3 linked regions of the Pelodiscus sinensis genome follow. The protein of the gene in region 2 purifies or fractionates together with the protein of the main gene of each other region. This does not show direct contact. Links are inferred from orthologs where the notes say so. Each region holds a gene or a part of one and is shown on either strand. Other genes may lie near its edges. The genes, in order: LBR, MAD2L1BP and MAD1L1.

Region 1 (7,985 bases), about 17 Mb from region 2:
AGTGGAAGAAAATAGTCACAACCATAATATACCAAAGGATACAATTTAAAAAAATGAACACATATGAAAAAGTCTTTGTAGCAGAATGCAGGTAGTTAAGTCGTTGAGACAGTGTCCTTTCTGGTTGAAATGGCAAGAAATTGTTTTTTCTTTGTGATCCTGTCTGATATCTGTTTTGTGGGCATTAATCCTTTGGCGAAGTGTCTGAGACGTTTGTCCAATGTACATAGCAGACGGACACTTTCGGCACATGATAGCATAAATTATATTTCTGGATGCGCAGGAATATGTGTTCTTGATCTTATAACTCAGTATATATGGTTGTGACTATTTTCTTCCACTATTTGATCTGAGGAAGTAGGTCTGGCCCACGAAAGCTCATCATCTAATAAACCATCTTGTTAGTCTTTAAAGTGCTACATAGTCCTGCATTTTGCTTCGGCTACACCAGACTAACGCGGCTACATTTCTATTACTAATGTCTCAACCCAGCGAGGATAAGGCTAGACTACAGGAGTTTTTCAGGATTCCGGAGATATCCCAGGAAAACTCTTCTGCATCCAGGGATGTATTTGTTCTTCCGCTTTTTTTAATGGAAGAGCAAACATGCCCTTTCGGTCACTCCTATAGTCCTCTTTCCACAAGGAATAAGGGAGCTTCCAAAAGAAGGGGTTTTTCTGATATTTGGCCCAGTCTAAACAGGCCAAATGTTGGAAAAACCTCTTCCTACAGAAAACTTGAAACAAAAAAAGCAGCAGTATAAGGGTTGGGGATAGCAAGCAATGGAGAGGAGAATAGAGAGGGCGAGGCTTCAAGGAAGGGGCAGCCAGTAGATCTTGGCTTGTTCTGTCATTTAAAAAGTGATCTTGGGTGTAAAAAGGTTGGAGACCACTGAGTCCTATGTCATCTGTCTTCCTATGGTCACGGTGTTCTTCAAATTGCTTTTTGCTTTTTATAGCCCATATTCTGGAAACTACTGTGAAACTATGCACTACTGTGTCTGTATAGTACTTAAATAATATTTAATCACTCTTTAGGAATAGCTCTCCACAATACTCACTAAGGTGCTGCTTTTGATGGAAGAAGTGTTCATAGTACAAACATTTAAACACATATACATCTTTTGTACAAATGGGACCTAGCAGATGATGTTTACTCTTATCCTCACTTATGGCACTTTCACATGAAATCAAGAAAATCTGAATATAAAAACTTCAGGCCAAATAATCACTACACTTACAATCTAGATTTGTAGTACTGATGTAGGAATTCAATTAGGAAAAATACAATCTTAATACTATTTTTAAACGTAGTTTAATGCACTTGCATTTGGAAAATGTGTTAACAAGCAAACTTAAATTGGTTTAGTGCAAAAACAAAACTCTGACTTCATTAGCTACCCATATATATATACACACACACACACACACACACACACACACACACACACCAAAATAGTTCACTAACGAGTAGGGTGTCAAGTAAAAAAAAAAATCAATTAGCATGACTTACACAGAAGTTTTTCACACAGCATCTTTCACACTAGCCTTATCCAAAAATACTACTTAATTTCTTGCCAGTGTTGAGGGTTTGTAAAAGGAAGAAAAGACAGTAACACACTCCATCTCCCCCATTTTTGTTCAGTTTACATCTTAAATTGAAAAGCAATTGATAAAGAGCAGCACTAACCACTCTGCCCTGCAAGCTGATGATACCGGCTATATGTTTTGTTAGTCTTTAAGGTGCTACTAACTAGACTATTCGTTGTTTTTAAGTTTTTCTAGTTACAGACTAACTCCGCTACCCTTTTGAAAGCGTCGGAACGCTATCTACCTATAGGGAAAAAAATCAGGCAGTCTTTGCAAAGCAAATCTCCAAGACATTAGAGAAAAGGCTCATTCGTCTCCTTTAAATATACTTTCAACCAGAAGCATCCAAAATGGAGGGAAAACGTCATAATTTAAACGTTTCCCATTTATCCTGATAGAAACGCTTCAAGGATACGCGGTCTCAGCCCGACACAGAAATGTAACAGATATCCGGGTTGTTTTGTCCATTGGGAATCCTGCCCCAGCCCGCCAGGCGAGTGGAGAGAGAGGCCGGAGAAGAGGAACCGATCCCGTGACCACCCCCTCTCCCCCGGAAGCCCCGCTGCAGCGCGCGGTGTGAGGTCGCGCTCGTTTGTTTCGCTGTGCCCCGCGCTCCCCAGTCAGCAGGGCCACAACCCGCCCGCGCCTCGCTCCTTAGCCGGGAAGCGCAGAACTCGGCCGTGGTCCGGCTCTCCATAGGGGTGCAAGGGAGCCTATGTCCCTCCGCCCACAGCCTCAACCCACGGGGGAGCCGGCCAGTCTCCGCGCAGGGGAGGGCACCGCACGCCTGTTTACATGGACGCGTCAGCCCTGCCCCCGCCGCGCACGGGGGGGGTTCGGGGAACCCGTCACCGCCGGCTCCCAGACGCTAAGGAGCGCAGCTAAGCGGCGGGTGAGAGCGGAGGGAAGGGAGCCGGGAACGGAAGGGGCCAATTCACACCAGCCCCCAGCAGGACAGAGAAAGAAACGTCTCGGTGTCGCGAGGCCCCGAGCGTGGGGGAGGGGAAGGAGGAAGCGACCGGTCGGTGCCCTCCTCCCCGGGAAAGTCTCTGAGTGAGGGGGTGTGTCCCGGCCCCCGGCTGCCCTCAGTCCCGGGGCCTTACCTGGGCTGCCGCCCCCACCCAGCCAGCAGGAATCGCCTCTGCGACACCGCAGGAGCCGGGGCCGAGCGGACCGTAGAAGAGCCACGAAATCCAACACCCCGAGCGACGGTTACAGGCAGGGCGGCTGGCGCGAGGCTTCGGCTGCAGCCCCGCCCCTTCCTGCGAGGTGCTGGGCGCCAACCGCCACCATTGGCCAGGCCTCCGGTTTGAATCGCGATCGGGACAGGGAATTGGCTACGAGTGGGTGGCGCGTTCCACCCTTTTGTGCCCCCTCGGGCCCTTCCAGAGGAGCGTCCTAGCCGGGAGCTGCCGGTCCGAGGTTGTCCCTGCTCCCGCCTCTGGGACGGAAACCTCCCGCTGGCCCCTTCCCCAGGCCGGGCCGCAGGGGCGGGTGGAAGAGACAGATTCCCTCACACCGCCCCAGACCCTCCCCGCAACGCTCACCCTCATGAGAAGGGCCCGTCAGAGCCCCCCCTCTGCCACCAACGGGCGGGGCTGGGGCAGCGCCTGGCCAGCTGAAAATGGTTTCCTTGGGGGGAAAGAGCCTCTGCCACCGAGTTAGCTTCCTCGCCTGAGAGGTGGGGGTAGGGGGTCTGTGCCCACTCCAGTCAGCACAGCGCCTCTGCGCCAGACGCGCTGCAAACACCTCTTCGGAGGAAGGGAGCCCAGCAGCCCCACCCCTTCCACCTGCCTCTCTTCCCAGGCTACCAGCTGGTCTCCAACCACTTGCCTAACCCAGGGGCCTCCAGCTGGCTGGCCAGCCCCAGGCCACCACTTGGTGGAAGCTGCCACAGTGGCCAGCTTGAGCTGAGTCTTCCCCCTCCTTTGGGGGGGGGGGGCAGTTTAGGGAAGGCTTAGCCCCTATGAGCTATGATACCTGTTTCTCATAACTATAAGACACAGCTATTCCTTTTCCTCAGAGACAGGAGTAAATCCGGACTTTTGCACAAAGGAAAAACCCCACACAAACAAATCAGAAATTATCACTAGCGTTATTCCAAGTACCATTTAGTGAGATCAATATTAGCTTTGACAATCTTTGACAGCAACAGGTTCATTTCTGTTTGCACGCAGAGGTTAGCCTATTCTCCACTAATATTCTAAATCAGAGGTTGGGAACCTGTGGCCCATGCCTTGCTTGGATCTAGTCCTACAGGCTCAGGACTCCCTCCCCCATGTTGTGCTCTAGCACCCCCCTGGGCTGGAGTACACCAAATCTGTTAAGCTGTCACCCCCCCCCCCCCAGGCTGAGGTGTGCAAGGGGAACATAGGGAGCATCTTTCTCCTCAGGTTGCCAGGGCAGAGGGGGTTTGCAGTTGGGTTTTTTTTTTGGTTTGGGCCTCTCAATTGTGTGTAGCCCCTGACTGATTTTTCTGTGGGTCAGCGGCCACTGACCCAAAAAAGGTGCCCCACCCCTGTTCTAAATCATAATATTGACAAGTATTTTACTAATTGATTTTATCTGATTATGGGCAAGATAAATTGATTGAGGGACAATTTCAGCAACAAAGACAAGCTAAAATAGTTTAGCTGAAGTTAAAACTTGTGGAAGAGTTCCAGAAAAGGAACACAGGGCTGGGACAGAATATTTTAGGGAAAACTTTGCTATTGTACCGTTTGAGACACTCATTTTGGTTCCATATCTAGCTGCATTGTGTACAGACTTTTTATTAATCATTTTTCTAAATACCGGCGAGGAGTCCCGTGGCACGTTATAGACTAACTGAAGTGTTGGAGCATAAGCTTTCATGGGCAAAGACCCACTTCGTCAGCATCAGACAAAGTGGGTCTATGCCCACGAAAGCTTATGCTCCAACACTTCAGTTAGTCTATAAGGTGCCACGGGACTCCTTGCCGCTTTTTCAGATTCAGACTAACACGGCTACGCCTCTGATACTTTTCTAAATACCATATCACAGCAGCAGTTGGAAGTACATTCAAAGTTCAAACTTATAGAACTAATTTTGAGGACTGCATAGATGTTCTAGGCCTTAATTCATCTAGGTTTTTAACCTAACACTCAGGTGGTATCTCCCTGAGGGGAGGTCTACATTTTTAAATCTAGTACCTCATAAAATCATATACAAGAAAGTATGCTTTCGGGGCTGTATCTAACTGATTCTCATTTAATAATATTAATCTGGGAACTGCACTTATAATAAACTCATCAACTATCCTGAGAATTGGCAATACTGTCTAAAGCAGTGTTTCTTAAACTTTTTAAGACAAAGGAACACCAAACAATTTTTTTATGGGGGGGAATACCAAGGATTTTTTTTTGTTGAGCGCAAAAAAAAAAATAAGTCGGGGGGAGGAGGAAGAGTTTTGAGAAAAAAGTTGCCAGCCCCTTTAAGGGTGGCCATTTTAAATTCTGTTCTCCACAGCACACAGGTGTACCATGGAACACAGTTTAAGAAACACTGGTCTAAAGTTCAAGTGAAGATAGAAGCTATATTGTAGAGCAGGATCAGGCACTTTACAATATCTAAAGATGGCAGTATTAGAGTGCTGTCTATATTACAATTACAGTGAAACTGCATGTGTGGTGAATTATAGCTACAGTTTTTAAATAACACAAATATCTTTGACAACGTGATTGCTCCATATCTGACTTCTCAGTCATCATCCTCAAAGGAGACTTGCACAACACTCCTGAATTCCCAAGCTTGTCTTTTGAAGCCATAACTATTGGCCCCTAAAAGTCACAGACTTAAGAGAAGCATTGATTTTATGGTTCATTACAACAACTTGGAACACATGTGGCTGCATACTAACTCTCCATTGCTCTATAATTGTGTTGCCCACTTCATTTAAAGTGGTCCCCTACTACATGTCTGAATCCCTTATGCTTAACAATCTGTCCTACCATGTGTTTAGCATGGACACTCTGGTTTCCTCCTCCAGACATGAAAAGCTTTGTCCAACAAGAAAGCAGTCCAATAAAAATACTACCTTACCACCACCCCTCCCTCCCGCCCTTATTTAACTTCACTGTTTGAAAGCCTGAAGATCAAGGAAGGGAGAGAACTGTATCATTTCCATCTGCAGGAATTGGGGTTTTTTTTAAATTAATATTATTGGAGGTAGGGGCTAAGTCAAAAATGTAATTTTTCTCTAAGTTGGCTGAGGTTTATAGTCATGCCAAGAGTTCCAGGTTCATGGGCATTTGATGCAAAAACTCTATCACTGAAGAACATAAGATTGATTTTTGGGATTGACAGCTCCATTAGCTGTCTTGGGAGAGGACGATCTGTGCAAAAAGAGGATGTGTAAATCACACATTATTCCCTGCTTTTTTAAAGATGTTTCTTCTATCTTTCTTGGGTGGCAAGAAGGGTTGTCATACTTGGGGATGACAAAGTAAGAATTATAATAAAACTAGGTCATATTTTACTTAAGACATCTGTGATTGGCTTAGCAACTTTTTCCAAAGATCTAGAAGTACTTCATATAACCTAAGATTTGCAATATCTCTGTGCTGTTGAAAGGAAATACAGGATTCACTTCATCACTTCACCACCAGAAAGCAAAAATCTTTTGGATCAAACACAGTAGCCTATAACATTTTTGAATATCACAAACTATGAACAAAATAGTTATTTTTTATTGCCACCAAAAAGGCAAGTGATTTATCAATTTTAAACATGCTAATTTAAAAGCAATTTAATACTATGCTGTATTTGAATTGAAACCCTCAAATTCCTCTCTGTCCATAAAATACTAAATAGTTAATGGCAAATGCAAGCTCCCCTTCTTCATTGTCCTGCCAAAGTGTTTCAACTCTGACACGGAGAATTGATATAACAGCGAGCTTATTATTTGCCCAAATAATACTTCACCTATCCAGCAAGACTTCCAAAAACTCTAAAAATAAACTTGTTAATTTGTTTTTGTGATCTAAATAGTATCCACTAAAGGACTGACAACTCCACATTGTTAAAAACCATGAGTAAGGCCCCCAGAATTCACGTGACTTAGATTTCCAGAAAGCCCTTGACAAGGTCCCTCACCAAAGGCTCTTAAGTAAAGTAAGTTGTCATGGGATAAGAGCGAAGTCCTTTAATGGATTGGTAACTGGTTAAAATACAGGAAACAAAGGGTAGGAATAAATGGTCAGTTTTCAGAGTAAGGATGTTAAAATGTGGTTAATTAACAAGTCAACAGAATTTCAGTCAACTAGTCGCCAGGTATTTCCACATTCTTCCTTTGAAATGCGGAACTCCGAGTACATCCTGGGGCCAGCTGGACATCCCGCTGACTCCAGGCTGCACACAGATGCCTTCTTTGAAATGCACAAGAGTCCCCAGCAGGGGCTCTTGTGCATTTCAAAGCCATGGAGCCCAGGATCAGCGGGAGACTCAGAGTCCCCTGCTGACCCTGGGCTCCATACTACGCTGTATGCCACTAGGGGCCCGGAGTCAGCTGGGGACTTCACAGTTGATCCTGGGTTCCCCGCAGCTGATCCTCTGAATCGCACGAATGCCTGGTTTAAAGGGATAGCCGCCCCTTTAACACACTACCCCATGTGTTCTTTTAACACAATACCCCATGGCTGCGTCTAGACTGGCATGATTTTCCGCAAATGCTTTTAATGGAAAAGTTTTTCCATTAAAAGCATTTGTGGAAAAGAGCGTCTAGATTGGCACGGACGCTTTTGCGCAAAAGCACTTTTTGCAGAAAAGCGTCCATTCCAATCTAGACACAGTTTTGCGCAAGAAAGCCCCGATTGCCATTTTCACCATCGGGGCTTTTTTGCGCAAAACGGTTCTCAGCATTTGTGCAAGAGGGCTTTTTCCCGAACGGGAGAGTCATTATATTTGCGGAAGAACACTGACAATCTTACATTAGATCGTCAGTGTTCTTGCGCAAATTCAAAGCGGCCAGTGTAGACAGCTGGCAAGTTTTTTGCTTTTGCGGAAAAACTTGCCAGTCTAGACGCAGCCCATGTGTTCATGTTATTTTCCACTACGTAGTCTATTAAGAGGCTTCTGTATTAAATCAGGTACATCACTGATTTACCGGAATCAGTATCACAAAATCATGTTGGCAGACATGAAGCAATCCACTGTCAGCCGACGGTCAGGGCAGTGTGTGCGTGTGTGTTACACCCAAGTCTTCAACTGCTGAGACACAGAGTCTCGTTGCAGTGGGCAGCCTAGGAGGCTGGAGGGCACCCTGAAAAGTAGTTTAACGTCCGTGACTTTACTGCTAGGACCGAGGTCCCGTCGCAGAGGGTAGCCAAACAGGCTAACAGACGCCCCAGTGTGTACAGGAAGAGCTTATTACGCTTCAG
Region 2 (7,278 bases):
AGATTCTCACAAGCATAGAAAACAGTCCTGAGCAAAAGACTCTTGTTTAGAGGTCTTCTTTAGAGCATCCTTTGTATAAGGGATGCTAAGTGGATTTTCTTATAGCTAAGCAACTTCTCAGCTCTCTCTCTAATCTTTATGATATTGCCAGACTGTAAAGGAGATGAGAGACCAAGTTGCTTAGTAAAACCTGCTATATAATCTTTGCCACACCCATATTAAGCATAAATTTAGATTATTCAAGTCCCAATCCATTCATTAACATTGCACATTGCTCTTGCAGCAGCTAGAGAACAGCTGTATGAATACCTTGATATTCTTGGGGGTGAGTGGGCATGCTGCACATAAATTGAATTACTCCCACCAACTCTCTAGGGTTCCTGACTCAGTTTCACCAAGAAATTGACATCTGTGAACAAAACTGCATTAGTGCTTATCCCTTGCATGGGGCCATTTAAAGCTTTGTTTTATGGACAGTGAAATACACCCCAGCTGCACGTAGGTAGCACATTCCCTGGATATAGGATTCTGAGGAGAGAATGTATAGTTACAGATCATAAAAACATTCTTACGTATTAACTAAAGTAGCACCAGATTATAAAATGCCCTATTAAAATGCTAGAGAGCATGAGTCATTCATGGAAGCCCTTAAGTGTCACTGGTGCTTGGAACCATATGTAGCTGTCCCAGGCAGAAGTCATTCCCTGCTGATTAGATGGATTTGTACTGCTGTTTCCACCACAGGACAAGTTGACAGTCAGCTTCCTCCCTCGTGTTGGCACTTTGTAGTTGAGCTTTGGTCGGAACCAGTCAATGCCACAGTCACGGTGCCCCTGTACCATGACAATGGTGCCCATAGCAGGAACAACCTGTAACTCACTGAAGACATCTGCAAGGAAGAGTGAATGGAAAAGCTTACGAACACAGGTCGGTGTTTGCAGGCTCTCCTCAGCATTGCCCACAGAGATGCCCTCCAAATTGATCTCATAGAGCTCCTTAGGGCTCATGGCATTTCCTCCAAGCAGAATAAGGATCCGGGGAACCAAGGTCAGATTGAATATGGCTTCCAAATGCCGGAACACTCCCTCCAGCTCCATTAGCACTTGCTGACATTTCCTGCTGCTCCCTCGGTCTGTAGGCTGTGGCTTCTTCTTAATTGCATCACCATCCTGCCAAGGAAAAAGTATATTCTGAAATATTAGGCAAGTGGTGGTGTATTTGACTGCATTTAGCATCTTGAACCACCAGACCCAACAGAAGAAAGAACAGATATTTTAAGAAAAACTAAGGGTTTTTTTTCCTTAAAAACCTGAAAAAAGGAATCTTGGTGTCTTGGTGGGACCCAACATTGAATGAGTTCATTACTAGTGTTTCCTGAATTTAAGGTCAGTAGAAATAAAAGATATCAAGATGGATATAATGAAGCTAGAAACCTCTCACAGCTTGGCATAGCTCAATGAGCATTTTAGTCAACATTCAGCCTCTCTGGATTTTCTTAGGAGGCCGATGTTCTGCTGTGCTCTAAGATCTGTAGATAAAACTACTTGACCAGCCAGAGAGAAGTGTATTCTCTTTAGGATATTGTGTCACATTAAATATAAACACTGACTGCATTGAGAAAAACAATGCATGCAACTGGAAATACAGAAGGTATGTTGATAGAGGCTACAAATCAAGACAACAGCTATCCAGTAGATTAGCTATCCAATTCTTGGAAAAGGCTGACTTGCCTTGGGAGCCAGTGCCACTTTATTCAGTGAGAAAGATTATGAGCCACCTGATCTTTTTTCAAAGTTTTATTGCCCAACAGACTAAATAGCTCTGAAACGCTGTCCATATACCCTGTGTTGCTATCCTGATGAGTTTAATAATCATCTCCATAACACATGGAAGTTTCTATTACCAATAGCCTATTTCAGTTACATGATGGACTTCCCCTTCTCCCTGTTTCTGAGACGTCTGAAGGTCTATCCTAGTTGTGCAAACTTGGGAGCTTAGACACTTTCATGTCCCATCTCCCACTGGTTCCTAAAGATAGCCAGTCCAGCCAAGACCCTGCAGCCAGTCACTGCTGGGCCTGAACCAACCAGAAACCTTACTACTTTGATCTGTAACTGCTGTCTCTTGAACCAGTGTATCAGATCATCCTACCTCGGGAGGGTGCGGCTGGGAAGGCCTATCTGGCCTGGCACAGTAGGCTGACTTTTGCAGAACATGCAGGGAACGGTCTCCAGCCCTCCTCAGCCCAAGGCAAAGTCACTACAGCGCTGGGGCTGGAGGCAGAGATTCCCGGAAGGCAAAAGCACCCGCAGAGATTGACCTGTTGCGCAGGCAGAGGAATGAAGCAGATTTGCTGGAGGGGAGGTAGCGGCCAGCAGCCAGCCCAGGAAAACAGCGTCTCACCGGGCAAGCGCGGAACGCACCCGGCTGCCAGGATCCAGGGCTGGCTCTCGCTCGGCCGGCGGCCCAGGCTTACCTGCGGCGGGCGGGGCAGCGCCCGCCGGTAGAAGTAGGCCAGCTGCTCGTAGGGCAGGGGCAGCTGGTGCCGCTGGTGCAGCACGTGCTTGAGGAGCTCGCAGGCGAAGTGGCAGCAGCCCTGCCGGGTCACGGGGCCGGGGAACACCACCGAGACCGAGCGGCAGCCCGGGGCGCGGCCGGCCGGGCCCTGCGTGGGGAGAAGCGGCGCCGCTGCCGCCCCGCTGCCGCCCCATCCCGCGGCGGGGTCCGGAGTCAGCGTCGGGGCCTCCAGGGGCTCGGTCTGGAGCAGGTCAGCTGCGTGGAGAGGGGAGAGGTCGCTCGGCGCGGGTGGGGAGGGGAGAGGAGCCCGGGCCCGCCCCTCACCTGCGCGCTCCTGGCGGCCCATCCCCGCCATCTTCGGCCTCACGCTCAGCTGCCCACTCCCGGCCCCAAGTTGAATGGCCGCCGCCCCGGGGCATCACGGGACATTCACGTCCCTGCTCCTTCCGGTGGCCGTGACCCCGCCGGCGCCATCTTTTCTTAGGGCACATTAGTGTTCCCTCCGCCCGCCTTGTGGGGACATTTTATTTTTGCACAAAAACCGCTTTTTTCGCAGGATCGGTAAACCTCCTTTTTTCGGGCGTAAGAATCTTGCGCAAAAAGAAAACGTAACGTCCACACTGTTTGTTTTTGCGCAAAAATGGATTGGCAGAAAATATGCAAATGAGATTGTAACTCATGCAAATGAGTCTCTCATTAGCATATTTTTTGCCAAGCAAACTGATCGTGTAGACGTAGCCACAGTGATGTTGTTGTAGAGTGGGAAGTAAATTCCAGGAGCCCTGCATTTCAATCTCTCCTCTGTGCTAATCACTAGACAATGCTGCCTATAGCAAACCAGCTGGAAATGCACATTAAAAACAGGGAAATGGTGTGTTATGGAAGATTAATCCCCTTCTTCTCACAAGTTAGTTTCATCAATAGTATGAGAAAAATAAGTCATTGTCTTTGGTCCACACCCAAGGGTCCATTGACAAGATCCTGTTCCACTCAAGCGGATCTCAACACAGAACAAAAATAAAAAAGACCCTGTAGCTGACATCTCTTCCTGTTTTCAGTGAGCGATCACTAGAAAGACCTCTACCTGGCCTTTAGTTTGTGGCATGATGGTAGCCAAGATCGGTTTGTTCTCCTAGCCAAGTTAAAAGGTGTCAGAATAAATCTATCTGCCTTGATACTATGGTATACAAAAATGCAAGGGGGGGATCCAATTTATAAGGAACCCATTTAATTCCCTCCCTTGCTTTTCCCCAGGGGCTGCATCTAGACTGGCATGATTTTGCACAAATACTTTTAACGGAAAAGTTTTTCCGTTAAAAGTATTTGCGCAAGAGAGCGTCTACCCTGGCACGGATGCTTTTGCGCAAAAAAGATGTCTTTTGCGCAAAAGTATCCGTGCCAGTGTAGACGCTCTCTTGCGCAAGAAATTAACTTGCCTGTCTACACTAGGCCTCTTGTGCAAGAATACCTGTAGGCTGTGTCTACATTGGCACCCTTTTCCGGAAAAGGGATGCTAATGAGACCAGTCAGAATTACAAATGCCGCGGGGGATTTAAATATCCCCCACGGCATTTGCATGAACATGGCTGCCACTTTTTTCCGGCTCGAGGTTTTGCCGGAGAAAAGCGCCAGTGTAGACGGGATCTTGCAGAAAATAAACCCTTTTCCGGAAGATCCCTTATTCCTACTTGCAAGTAGGTTTATTTTCCGCAAGATCCCATCTAGACTGGCACTTTTCTCTGGCAAAACCCCGAGCCAGATAAAAGCGGCAGCCATGTTCATGCAAATGCCGCGGGGGATATTTAAATCCCCCGCGGCATTTGCAATTCCAGCTGGTCTCATTAGCATCCCTTTTCCGGAAAAGGGTGCCAATGTAGACACAGCCGATCTGTACAAAATCAGTGGTTCTTGCGCAAATACTTGCGGCCAGTGTTGACAGGCGGCAAGATTTTGTGCAAAAGCAAATGCTTTTGCGCAAAATCTTGCCAGTCTAGACGCACCCAGGGTGTTTCAGGTTCACCTATATATATAGATTCAGAAGGACTGCCATATTAGTCTGTAACTTCAAAAATGACGAGTAGTTGGCACCGTAGAGATTAACTAAAATATATACAGTATCATGAGGTTTGTTGAGCAAAACCCACAGTAGACACACACTAAATAGTCAGGATTCCTGAGTTCTAGTTCAGAGAGCTTTTTCATCTTCCTTTCATTGCCTTTTATATAAATTCCATTTTTATAATTAGTTATAGTAATCATCGTACTGGTAATATATTAGTCATGGCTAAAATATTATCATCACAGTGATTAAATACCACATTTTGTGTCCGTATCATCCACAACAGATATCATACCACAATTGTGCAGAGGCAGTAGTATACACTGCTATTCTAGCTGAATGAACTGCTCTGACCTGGTTTTCTGTTCTCAGCTATTTGTAGTACATGATGCAATTTGTTTCCTTTGGAGGTCAGCCCTGAAGGAGGAGGCGCCCTGAAGCACTGAGAGTGTGTGGCTACAGCTAGTTTTTGAAAACAAAGCATCCCTGATTTATCATTGGCTGCAATTTTAAAAATCAACATGGGGGGGGGAGGAGTCCAATTTGTATATTTCAAATGCATGATGGGATCTGTAGTTCTGTGGCTTTGCATAGTCTTGTGTGTAATATGGTTAGTGTGTCAATGTAATATATTTAGATTGCCTGTTAGTCTTTAAAGTGCTACCAGACTATTTGTTGTTTTTTAAGTTTATCCTAAGTCTTCTATTAGTTTCAGAGGAGTAGCCATGTGGTCTGTAACTTTAAAAACAATGTGGCCCCTTAGAGACTAACAAATATAGATATAGATATATATAAACAGAGAGAGAGAGAGAGAGAGAGTGTGCATCACATGAGCTTTCATGAGGAAAACCCACTTCTTCACTCAAGATTATCTCATATGAAGAAGTGGGTTTTGCCCACAAAGGCTCATGATAGTGTGTGTGTGTGTGTGTGTGTGTGTGTGTGTGTATATATATATATATATATATATATATATATATATATATATATATAAAGTGCCACAGGACTAAGTCTAAGTCTTCTATAGCACTTTTCATCAAAGAGTTTCAAAGTGCTTTACAAATGTCAATAATACATCCTCAATAGAGACAAAGTGACTTGGTCAAAACTATACAATTAGTGGGGAAACTGGAAATAGTACTCAGGAGTTTTTTCAGTCCAAAATTCTTGCTTTATTGTTAACATGTGACAGTATGTTTGATATAAATATATTTTAGCATATTGTCCTTATAGAAATGTATTTATTATATGGTAACTTGCTGAAACTATACAATGTACTGTTTTGAAGTGCTTTATCAAATAACATTGCTCTTTATTATTTTCCATTAAACTTCTATTATGTGTGTCTTGATATATATTGGTTTGAATGTATTATATGGTGGTAGCACCTGTATTTCTCTCTTATGGTACATAGGACCAGGATATCCAGAGGATGGGAGGGGTTTTATGCACATATATAGCACCATACACACAAGCACTGTGTGCAGCATGTAAATCTATAGATTTTAGAAATTGGGTTTCAATGTTGTTGCCCAAACTACACCCAACCATGAAACTGCATCAGCAGCTTCCTGGGTTTTGGTTGACATAGAATGATGTCAATCACCGCTATAGTACAGAGAAACAGCCCGGGGAGGCAACAGGCCCCACCATCAAATGTTACCTTGGAAGCACTTTAAGTAGTCTGGGAAGAGAATGGTACAGGTGTAGGGTTGCCAGGTAGACCCCACCAAAAAAACGGACACACTTGATCGTGGGCGGGCAGGGGAGGGGGAAAGAACCTGCTGGGACAGGGGTGAGGCTGGCCGGGAGGTGGGCGGGGTGGGAAGCAGAGCTGGTGGGGGGAAGCCAGGGGTCGTGGGGCTGGCCGGGCGGAGAGGGGGGCCCGGAGGAAGGGGGGTGGGAAGCAGACTTGGCGGGGGGGGAGGGGTGCAGGCACTGGCTACAGCCAGAGTCCTTTGGGCCATGCCCCCAGCAGGCACTCCCTTTAGTTGCGAGCAAAAGCCAGGCAGGGGCGGGGGAGGGGCTGGGAGCCACTCCCACCACCCGGCTTTTGCACACGAACAAAGGGTTCCCAGCGCCAATCGCAGCCCCGCCTCCCAGTCACTCCCCCGCCCCCAACCAGGCTTCCGTCCAGCGCCCAGTTGGAAATTCAGAAAATACCTGAAAGTCTGAATTTTTCTACTGGACAGACGGTGCAAATACCAGACTGTCCAGTAGAAAACCCGACACCTGGCAACCCTACACAAGTGATGCTATTCTGTCTCTCTCCAGGGGCCCCAGTTCCACTCATGAAGACAGGCTGGTGAAAAAGCATACACAAGAAATGGGCCTGTCCTGAAACCATCGCAAAATGGTAAGCTAGCAGGGAACCAACAACCTCAATAAACTGGAAAACCACAACTCCCGGGAGTCCCTGCTCAGCAGCTCCGGAAGGAAAGGACGCTTTTTTCTTTCGTGCATGCTGGGAGCTGTAGTCCTTTCTAAGTGCGGTAATTCTGCGTGTAGAGACTGCTGCGCCCGTGGGCCTTTGCGAGTCAGTGTGACTGGCGCGGTGCATCATGGGAAGTGCAGTTTTCCGAGCTGCGTGTGCTGTGCAGCGTGGTGCTTGCTGGGGGTTGTAGTCCTGGGCAGCTGTCCGGACTCGGTTTCCCGTGAAGCCCCGCGGGTGTTTCTGACGCCAGAGGCCGGAGGGAGCTGGA
Region 3 (7,577 bases), on a different chromosome or scaffold from region 2:
GGCCAGAAACACAGTGGTAAGAGGGCCAGCTTCCCTCCCCCTTTTCTGCCCACCTACTCAGCAACCTAGCTAATAGGTTACCAAGTCCCCAGGGACCCAGCCACACAATTTTAAATGCAATGGAAATTTAAATAAAGATACCAAGGCCTTACTTTACACTCAGACACATAATTAGAGATCCATAACAAAGCTACAAAACTCAAAACTTGTGTAAGACATCTTGGACATTGCTAAAGTGTCCATCGCTATAGCATCCATGAAGACTGGTTTAGTAAATTAAAATTTATGCTTCAAAGACTACAATTCTGGTCCAGATTGAGGTCCCCAATAGAATTAATTTGGTGATCTCAATTCAGTCCTCAGAGTCAATATCATAAAAATGCCATGGATAGTTTAGCACACCTAACAGTATGTTTTCAAGAAAGAAATGGACAAGGCAGGAAAAACTGACCATCACCCCGAGCAAACCATCAGTTAAGCTCAGTCATGGGGGCAAGATGAAATCAAAATACAGCTGCCTAAGTTGACCTACAGATAAGTTAAAGGGAGAGAATTGAAGAAAACCAATTGAATACTGACCAGGACAAAGAGTCAGGCCCATAACTTACTTTTTTCTTAAATGAATGGGTTTAAGAGTTTTATTTTGGGAGCAAATTGTCTCCATCATTGGCAATGTTGGGATAGCAATGTAAGAAAGGACAGCCTCTGTTTCTTAACTAAAAAAATTCCCATGCCTGATATCAAAATAAATCTAAATTCTTAACTCCAGGTGTGAATGAACCAGGGATGTCTCACCTGAACCCTCTGCTGGTACTGCATATGCAAGGTACTTGGAAGTGATCCTGGTGCAGCCAGACTAGATGCCCCCTCCACACGCTGTGAAATGAAGTTGTTGAGAGATCGCAAGGCAGAGAACACAGTTGTATTGTCCTCTGAGTTCTCCATGGTGAGCTCTCTGCTGTAAAACACAGACACACAAAGGCAAAAGTGAAACATCCAGGGCAATCTTATTCACCGCTATAACATCAGGTAAGCATACCCCCTTCTTCAAGTCATTCTGAAAAAGCATTTCTCAAATACAGCCACAAGAAGGTTTTTTTAGAATTTATTTTGCATCCACAATAGCTTCTACAGCATAGAAGGGCAAAGCAGAGTATGGGGACAAAAGCAGCAGTTCCTCCTTGCAGCGCCCAATTGTTGCTCCTGGGCAGCAAAATGTGCCGCTTTCATGTTTACACTGGCACTGCCAGTAGGGAGCATTGTCCTGCACAGCACAACCTCCTCAGGGGCTCGAGGAAGTGCCTCTGGAGACACAGTGCATGCAGCTCTTAGTTTCTGGGATGCTCCTCCAGGTAGCTTTCCCACTGCTGCCCAGGAAACCTGGGACACTGCACACAGTTGGTGAGTTCATGACCCACTTTCCCAGATGGCAGAAATAGAGAGACAGGTTTGCCAGGGCAGCCACCAGCAAGAGTTGGTGGCTGCACTCTGAGGTCACCACAAATTTTATTGTGAAAACCCCTGCTCGAGTCCACATTCTTCTCATATACATTGGGCCCTGCCAAATTCATGGGTGTGAAAAACTGCAACACAGACTATGAAATTTGACTATCGTAGGGGTGTCATGATATTGCCACACTTACTTCTGCCCTGCCTTCAGAGTAATGGCTGCTAGGCGGGCATCCAGTTCTAAAGGCAGTGTTGCCACTAGCAGCAGTTAAGAATTAAGAGTGGTATGGTATGGAGGTCACCACCATAAGAACATAAGAACATAAGAACGGACGTACTGGGTCAGACCAAAGGTCCATCTAGCCCAGTATCCTGTCTGCCAACAGTGGCCAGCACCAGGTGCCCCAGAGAGGGTGGACCGAAGACTATGATCAAGCGATTTGTCTCCTGCCATCCCTCTCCAGCCTCTGACAACAGAGGCCAAGGACACCATTTTATCCCCTGGCTAATAGCCTTTTATGGACCTATCCTCCATGAAATTATCTAGCTTCTCTTTAAACTCTATTATAGTCCTAGCCTTCACAGCCTCCTCTGGCAAGGAGTTCCACAGGTTGACAACACGCTGTGTGAAGAAGAACTTTCTTTTATTAGTTTTAAACCTGCTCCCCATTAATTTCATTTGGTGTCCTCTAGTTCTTCTATTTAGGGAACTAATAAATAACTTTTCTTTATCGGCCCTCTCCACACCGCTCATGATTTTATATACCTCTATCATATCCCCCCCTCAGTCTCCTCTTTTCTAAACTGAAAAGTCCCAGTCGCTTTAACCTCTCCTCATATTTCCCTCTAATACTTCACATCCCTCAGCAGAATGAATTTTGTTATGTGCACCAATCTGGAAGCGATGTGTCCACCCCTCCCCAGGACATGGCAGATTGGAGACCGGGTTAAATTGGGGCAGGGCTGTTCCCCTGAGGGATGAGGTTCTGTGCCCGAGGTGAAGGGGCAGGACCCTGTACAGATGCCCACGTGAGGCAGGGCCCTGCCTTGCTGCCCCAGGTGGGTACAGTATTGGGTGGATGGGGCCCTGCGCTGCTCCCCGGGAGAAGAGGGGGAATTCCACAGGGGGCCGTGTCCTGCTGCCGCCCCAGGGGAGAGTCGCTGGGGGTGTCTGGTGAGGCTCAGCGCCAGCGAGGGGGACCCTACGGTGCTGCTGCTCCCCTGGGATCCCACCTGGCTGCCCCGGCTGGGGAGGGTCAGTGTTGGGGGCGGGACCCTCTGCTGCTGCCCCCCCCCCAGGAGTCAGTGTGAGGGAGGGGCCCTGCCGCGCTGCCCCAGAGGGAACAGGGGGAGGGGCGCTGCCTGAGGGGGGGTCAGGGTCAGAGCGCGGGACCCCGACGGGAGGGGGGGGTGTCAGGGCGGGAAGACGCCTGTGCTGCCACGGAACTGCAGGGCGGAGCCGAGCCAATCCGATTACCGCCCGGGGCGCGAGACAGCGCGCGGGTCTCTCGCACTCACCCACAGCAGCCGGCTCCCCGCCTCCTGCTTGGATCTCCCTCCTCGTCCTGCCCCGAGATCTCACGAGAACTCGAACCCAGCTCCCGCGAGACGAACCTTCCCGCCCCGCCTCCTCCCCCCCGACGCACACACTTTACCGTAATATTCGGGTTATACGTGCGTCCAGGGGTAGCTCCGTGGTCCTCTTACCGCTAGGCGCATGCACAAAGTTCCTATTTCCCCAGTGTGGTAGAGTAAAAACTGACGGTGCCATGGCAACGCTGTATCTGGGAGGATGATTTTGTGATTCAGACCCTGGAGTAGGAGTTGAGACACCGGGTTCCAGTTTCAACTCTGCCAGAGCAAGTCTGTCTGACCAGCTTGCTCAGGCTGTGGTTGTTCAGTATAGGGACGAGTCGACTGTCCCATAAGCAAATGCTTATCCAATAGTTGACAGGATAGTTGACTAGTTGATTCCTCCCCTTGCTGTCTCTATGAGGTAGAGGTAGCAAGGGGGAAAGAAGAGGAAGCACTTCAAAGCAGCAGTGCTGCTTGAAGCCGGGGGGCCAGACCCTGGACTCCATGCAGCACTGCCGCTTTGAAAAGCCACGTGCAATTGGGGGCCATCTGGAATGTCCCCAGGCTGCATGTGGCATTTTAAAGTGGCAACACCACATGGAGCCCGGGATCAGCTGGGGACTCCCCAGCTGACCCCCAGTTCTGTGTAGTGCTGCCACTTTGAAATGCCATGGGAAGCCCAGCATTGGGCTGCACGCAGATTTTCAAAGCAGTTAACTGACCCCACGCTCTGCAGCGCTGCCGCTTTGCAACACTGCAGAGAGTCTGATACCCCGGCATCTGGATTTCTTTTTGGGCTTCTAAGCTCTAGTGCAATATAAATGTTTACAAAGTAGTGATTCTAATAAGAGACACATCCTTTACAGAAAGGACATGAGGGCACACTGCCAGTGACCATCCCTTCTCCAACAAGGCGGGAGGCACCATACTAGAAGTTATGTTGTCAACATACAGGAGAGTGAGTAACCCACCCAATCCATCCAGATCTTCACAACTCCTGACCATAGTGACAACAATGCCTACATGCCACTTATTGCACTGTGCAGTTTCCTCTATTGGATTGAACCAGGGCACTTGCAGATTTTCTTCACCTGCCACTTCTTCACAGACAGAAATATCAGGAGGGACTCCTAGGATGATACACACCACAGGCTGCACCTACGGGCAGCCAGACCTGATCACATATTCTCTACTAAGCTTTCAAAGCAAAGTGCTACCACAGACTAACAACTTCAGTAGCAAATATAACTGTGTCTACATTGGATTTGAAGTCAGTGACCAGCATTACTGCTGTCAGGAGTAGGCAAATATGCTCAAGGTTCACTATGGGCAGTGGAAAACAAAAAAGCCTAAAGGGAATGAAGAACCTTTTTAAGCTCCTGGTGCTGTCCCTCTGTAAGCAGATAAAGAATTTATGAATTCTCACTTCCATTTTCTTTCCTCGGGCTTGGTATGCAATTGCACCTTTGCCCCTTCTGACTAGAACTGATGAATATGAAGGTGGGAAACTCAGCAATTCACTAAAGAATTAACTAAAAAAAAGAATTAAGGATGCCCACTGCTAGCTTGAGCCACACTAGAGAGAGGGTGTAGTTTAATCAAACCATGTGTTTAAGCAAAAGTCCAAAATACATTACAGTAACTAAAATATATACCTTGTAAACTTCCTTGCAATGCTAAACTGGGATTCCCAGTTACGCTTCCACTGTGTGTACAAGTGATTCTGACCAGCTCTCTCCTGATGCTGCATGAGAGAGTCTCCAGCACTTTGCTTTCGTTGGGGTTCAGTAGCCTAGAATTCTAATTTCAGAAAAAGTCCTGCTCAGCTCAGATAGAAGCATACCAGATGAAAACAGTCTTCGGGGAATTTAGCTACCAAGCTCTAACAGGGCTCAACTCAGCACATGCAAAAACTGATTTTTCAGAGGCTTGTTGAGCTGGTTAAATGTGGTTGGATTGTCATGCGGACAACAAAAGGCATATCCATGACAAGAAAGCTACTCTTCTTATAAGCTTCAAGACCTTGCTCCAAAGCCTGAGCACAACAGATCTTCTCAAAGAATAAGTCACCCAACATTTTTAAGACAGGCAAACATGCATTTTCCTAGCCTCTCTCTTAGAAACAGTTTAACCACTTCAGCCTAAGGCAGATAGTTGGCATGGAAATTTTCAGCCCATATAGTTATTTGGCACAATGTGCTAATAAATTGCACTTTTAGGAAAAATTCAGAAGTAAAACTGAATGATAGCTGCCTTCTCTTCAGTATCATGACAGCTGCGTTGCATTTAGTTCAAAGTATAACTATGATCACAAAGTAGAAATCTGAAACACACACATGTACACAAATCTTTAAGTAGTGTTTTATTTTTATTCCCATCCCCCACGGGCAGGTTTTATACATAAGAATGGCCATACTGGGTCAGACCAAAGGTCCACCTAGCCCAACATCCTCTCTGCTGACAGTGGCCAATGCCATGTGCCCCAAAGAGAATGAAAAGAACAGAATCGTCAAGTGATCCATTTCCTGTTGCCCATTTCAAGCTTCTGACAAACAGAGGCTACAGCACAGGCAGTTGGTGAAGGTAGGGCTGGGGGAGGCAAGCCCTCAGCCCCATCCCCAGCCTCGCACCTTCGGCTGAGGTCCTTCACATCCATAGGAGCCAAGCCACCTCCTCACAGCCCCACCATGGGGAAGCAGGGCAGCATGCTGTGCGCGCCTACCACCACCACAGGGAAGAAGACAGTGGGTGCGCACTGTTGTGTAAAACCTCCGCCCAAGCTGGTATAATGTGGATGTAAGACATGTAATTTTCTGTTATTGTAAGTCAGGTAACTTTGTTATTTTAAGTCGTCAGCTTCAGCCATTGCAAGTCCCAAAACTTTCTATTGTACGCCATGTAACTCTCAACTATTCTAAGTTATATCAGTTTCTATTGCAAGCCATGTAATTTTCAAGTAATGTTTCAAGTTCTGCAACCTCTTTGCAAGCTTTGTAACTTCCAGCTATTGCTTATATAATCTTTAAGCTCTGTAACATTCTATCCTGTGACAAGGGAGTGCATGGATATGTGTAAGTGGTAAGAGAGTGTAAATAGGGTTATGTCTGCACCTTTGTGGAGAGGAGCCATGAGGCTACAGACTTGAAGCCAGGGGCTAGGTGGGGTCTGATGTAGTCTTTGCTTGCACGTGAGAAAGACAAGAATGGAGGTGCAGCGAAGATGAGAAAAAGGAATTAATATGCATGAGGAAAATGAGGTCAGGTGGGCCTCTTGGGCTAAGTCTAGTCTTCAGGCTTCTTTCGGAACAAACTTTTCCGAAAGAGATCTGCCGAAAAACTTCTTCCAAAAGAGAGTGTCTACACATAAAAGAATAGTGATAGAAATGTAGCCGTGTTAGTCTGGGGTAGTTGAAGCAAAATGCAGGACAATGTAGCACTTTAAAGACTAACAAGATGGTTTATTAGATGATGAGCTTTCGTGGGCCAGACCCACTTCCTCAGATCAAATAGTGGAAGAAAGTAGTCACAACCATATATACCAAAGGATACAATTAAAAAAAATGAACAAATATGAAAAGGACAAATCACATTGCAGAACAGAAGGGGGATGCGGGGGGGTGGGAAGGGGGAGGAAGGAAGGTAAGTGTCTGTGAATTGCTGATATTAAAGGTAGGGAGAGTGGGATGTTTGTGAGTTAATGGTATTACAGGTGATAATTGGGGAAACTGTCTTGGTAATGGGTGAGAAAGTTCAAAGTCTTGTTAAGTCCTTGGTGATAAGTGTCGAATTTTAACATGAATGACAGTTCAGAGGATTCCCTTTCAAGTGCAGATGTAAAAGGTCTTTGTAGCAGAATGCAGGTGGCTAAGTCATTTAGAGAGTGTCCTTTCTGGTTAAAGTGGCAAGAAACTGTTTTCTCTTTGTGATCTTGTCTGATATCTGTTTTGTGGGCATTAATCCTTTGGCGAAGTGTCTGAGATGTTTGTCCAATGTACATAGCAGACGGACACTTTCGGCACATGATAGCATAGATTATATTTCTGGATGCGCAGGAATATGTGTTCTTGATCTTATAACTTACTTGGTTAGGTCCAATAATGGTATCAGCAGAATGAATATGTGGACAAAGCTGGCAACGGGGTTTGTTGCCAGCTTTGTCCACATATTCATTCTGCTGATACCATTATTGGACCTAACCAAGTAAGTTATAAGATCAAGAACACATATTCCTGCGCATCCAGAAATATAATCTATGCTATCATGTGCCGAAAGTGTCCGTCTGCTATGTACATTGGACAAACATCTCAGACACTTCGCCAAAGGATTAATGCCCACAAAACAGATATCAGACAAGATCACAAAGAGAAAACAGTTTCTTGCCACTTTAACCAGAAAGGACACTCTCTAAATGACTTAGCCACCTGCATTCTGCTACAAAGACCTTTTACATCTGCACTTGAAAGGGAATCCTCTGAACTGTCATTCATGTTAAAATTCGACACTTATCACCAAGGACTTAACAAGACTTTGAACTTTCTCACCCATTACCAAGAC

The links.
Region 1: the proteins of MAD2L1BP (region 2) and LBR purify together in Homo sapiens (co-immunoprecipitation; 3 studies listed by BioGRID and IntAct, counting the BioPlex papers as one, with this or other methods). This does not show direct contact. The link is inferred for Pelodiscus sinensis from reciprocal best matches to the Homo sapiens genes MAD2L1BP and LBR.
Region 3: the proteins of MAD2L1BP (region 2) and MAD1L1 purify together in Homo sapiens (co-immunoprecipitation; 4 studies listed by BioGRID and IntAct, with this or other methods). This does not show direct contact. The link is inferred for Pelodiscus sinensis from reciprocal best matches to the Homo sapiens genes MAD2L1BP and MAD1L1.

Annotation. Positions count from the first base shown.
Region 1 is NC_134713.1:156,527,646-156,535,630, forward strand, and holds the start of LBR (delta(14)-sterol reductase LBR), read right to left. Parts: upstream 3,093-7,985; 5' UTR 2,693-3,092; intron 1-2,692. UniProt on the Homo sapiens protein: Catalyzes the reduction of the C14-unsaturated bond of lanosterol, as part of the metabolic pathway leading to cholesterol biosynthesis.
Region 2 is NC_134713.1:139,340,290-139,347,567, reverse strand, and holds the start of MAD2L1BP (MAD2L1-binding protein), read right to left. Parts: upstream 3,056-7,278; 5' UTR 2,873-3,055; coding exon 2,477-2,872; intron 1,170-2,476; coding exon 633-1,169; 3' UTR 1-632. UniProt on the Homo sapiens protein: May function to silence the spindle checkpoint and allow mitosis to proceed through anaphase by binding MAD2L1 after it has become dissociated from the MAD2L1-CDC20 complex.
Region 3 is NC_134726.1:28,515,430-28,523,006, forward strand, and holds the start of MAD1L1 (mitotic spindle assembly checkpoint protein MAD1), read right to left. Parts: upstream 3,058-7,577; 5' UTR 2,968-3,057; intron 959-2,967; 5' UTR 946-958; coding exon 796-945; intron 1-795. UniProt on the Homo sapiens protein: Component of the spindle-assembly checkpoint that prevents the onset of anaphase until all chromosomes are properly aligned at the metaphase plate.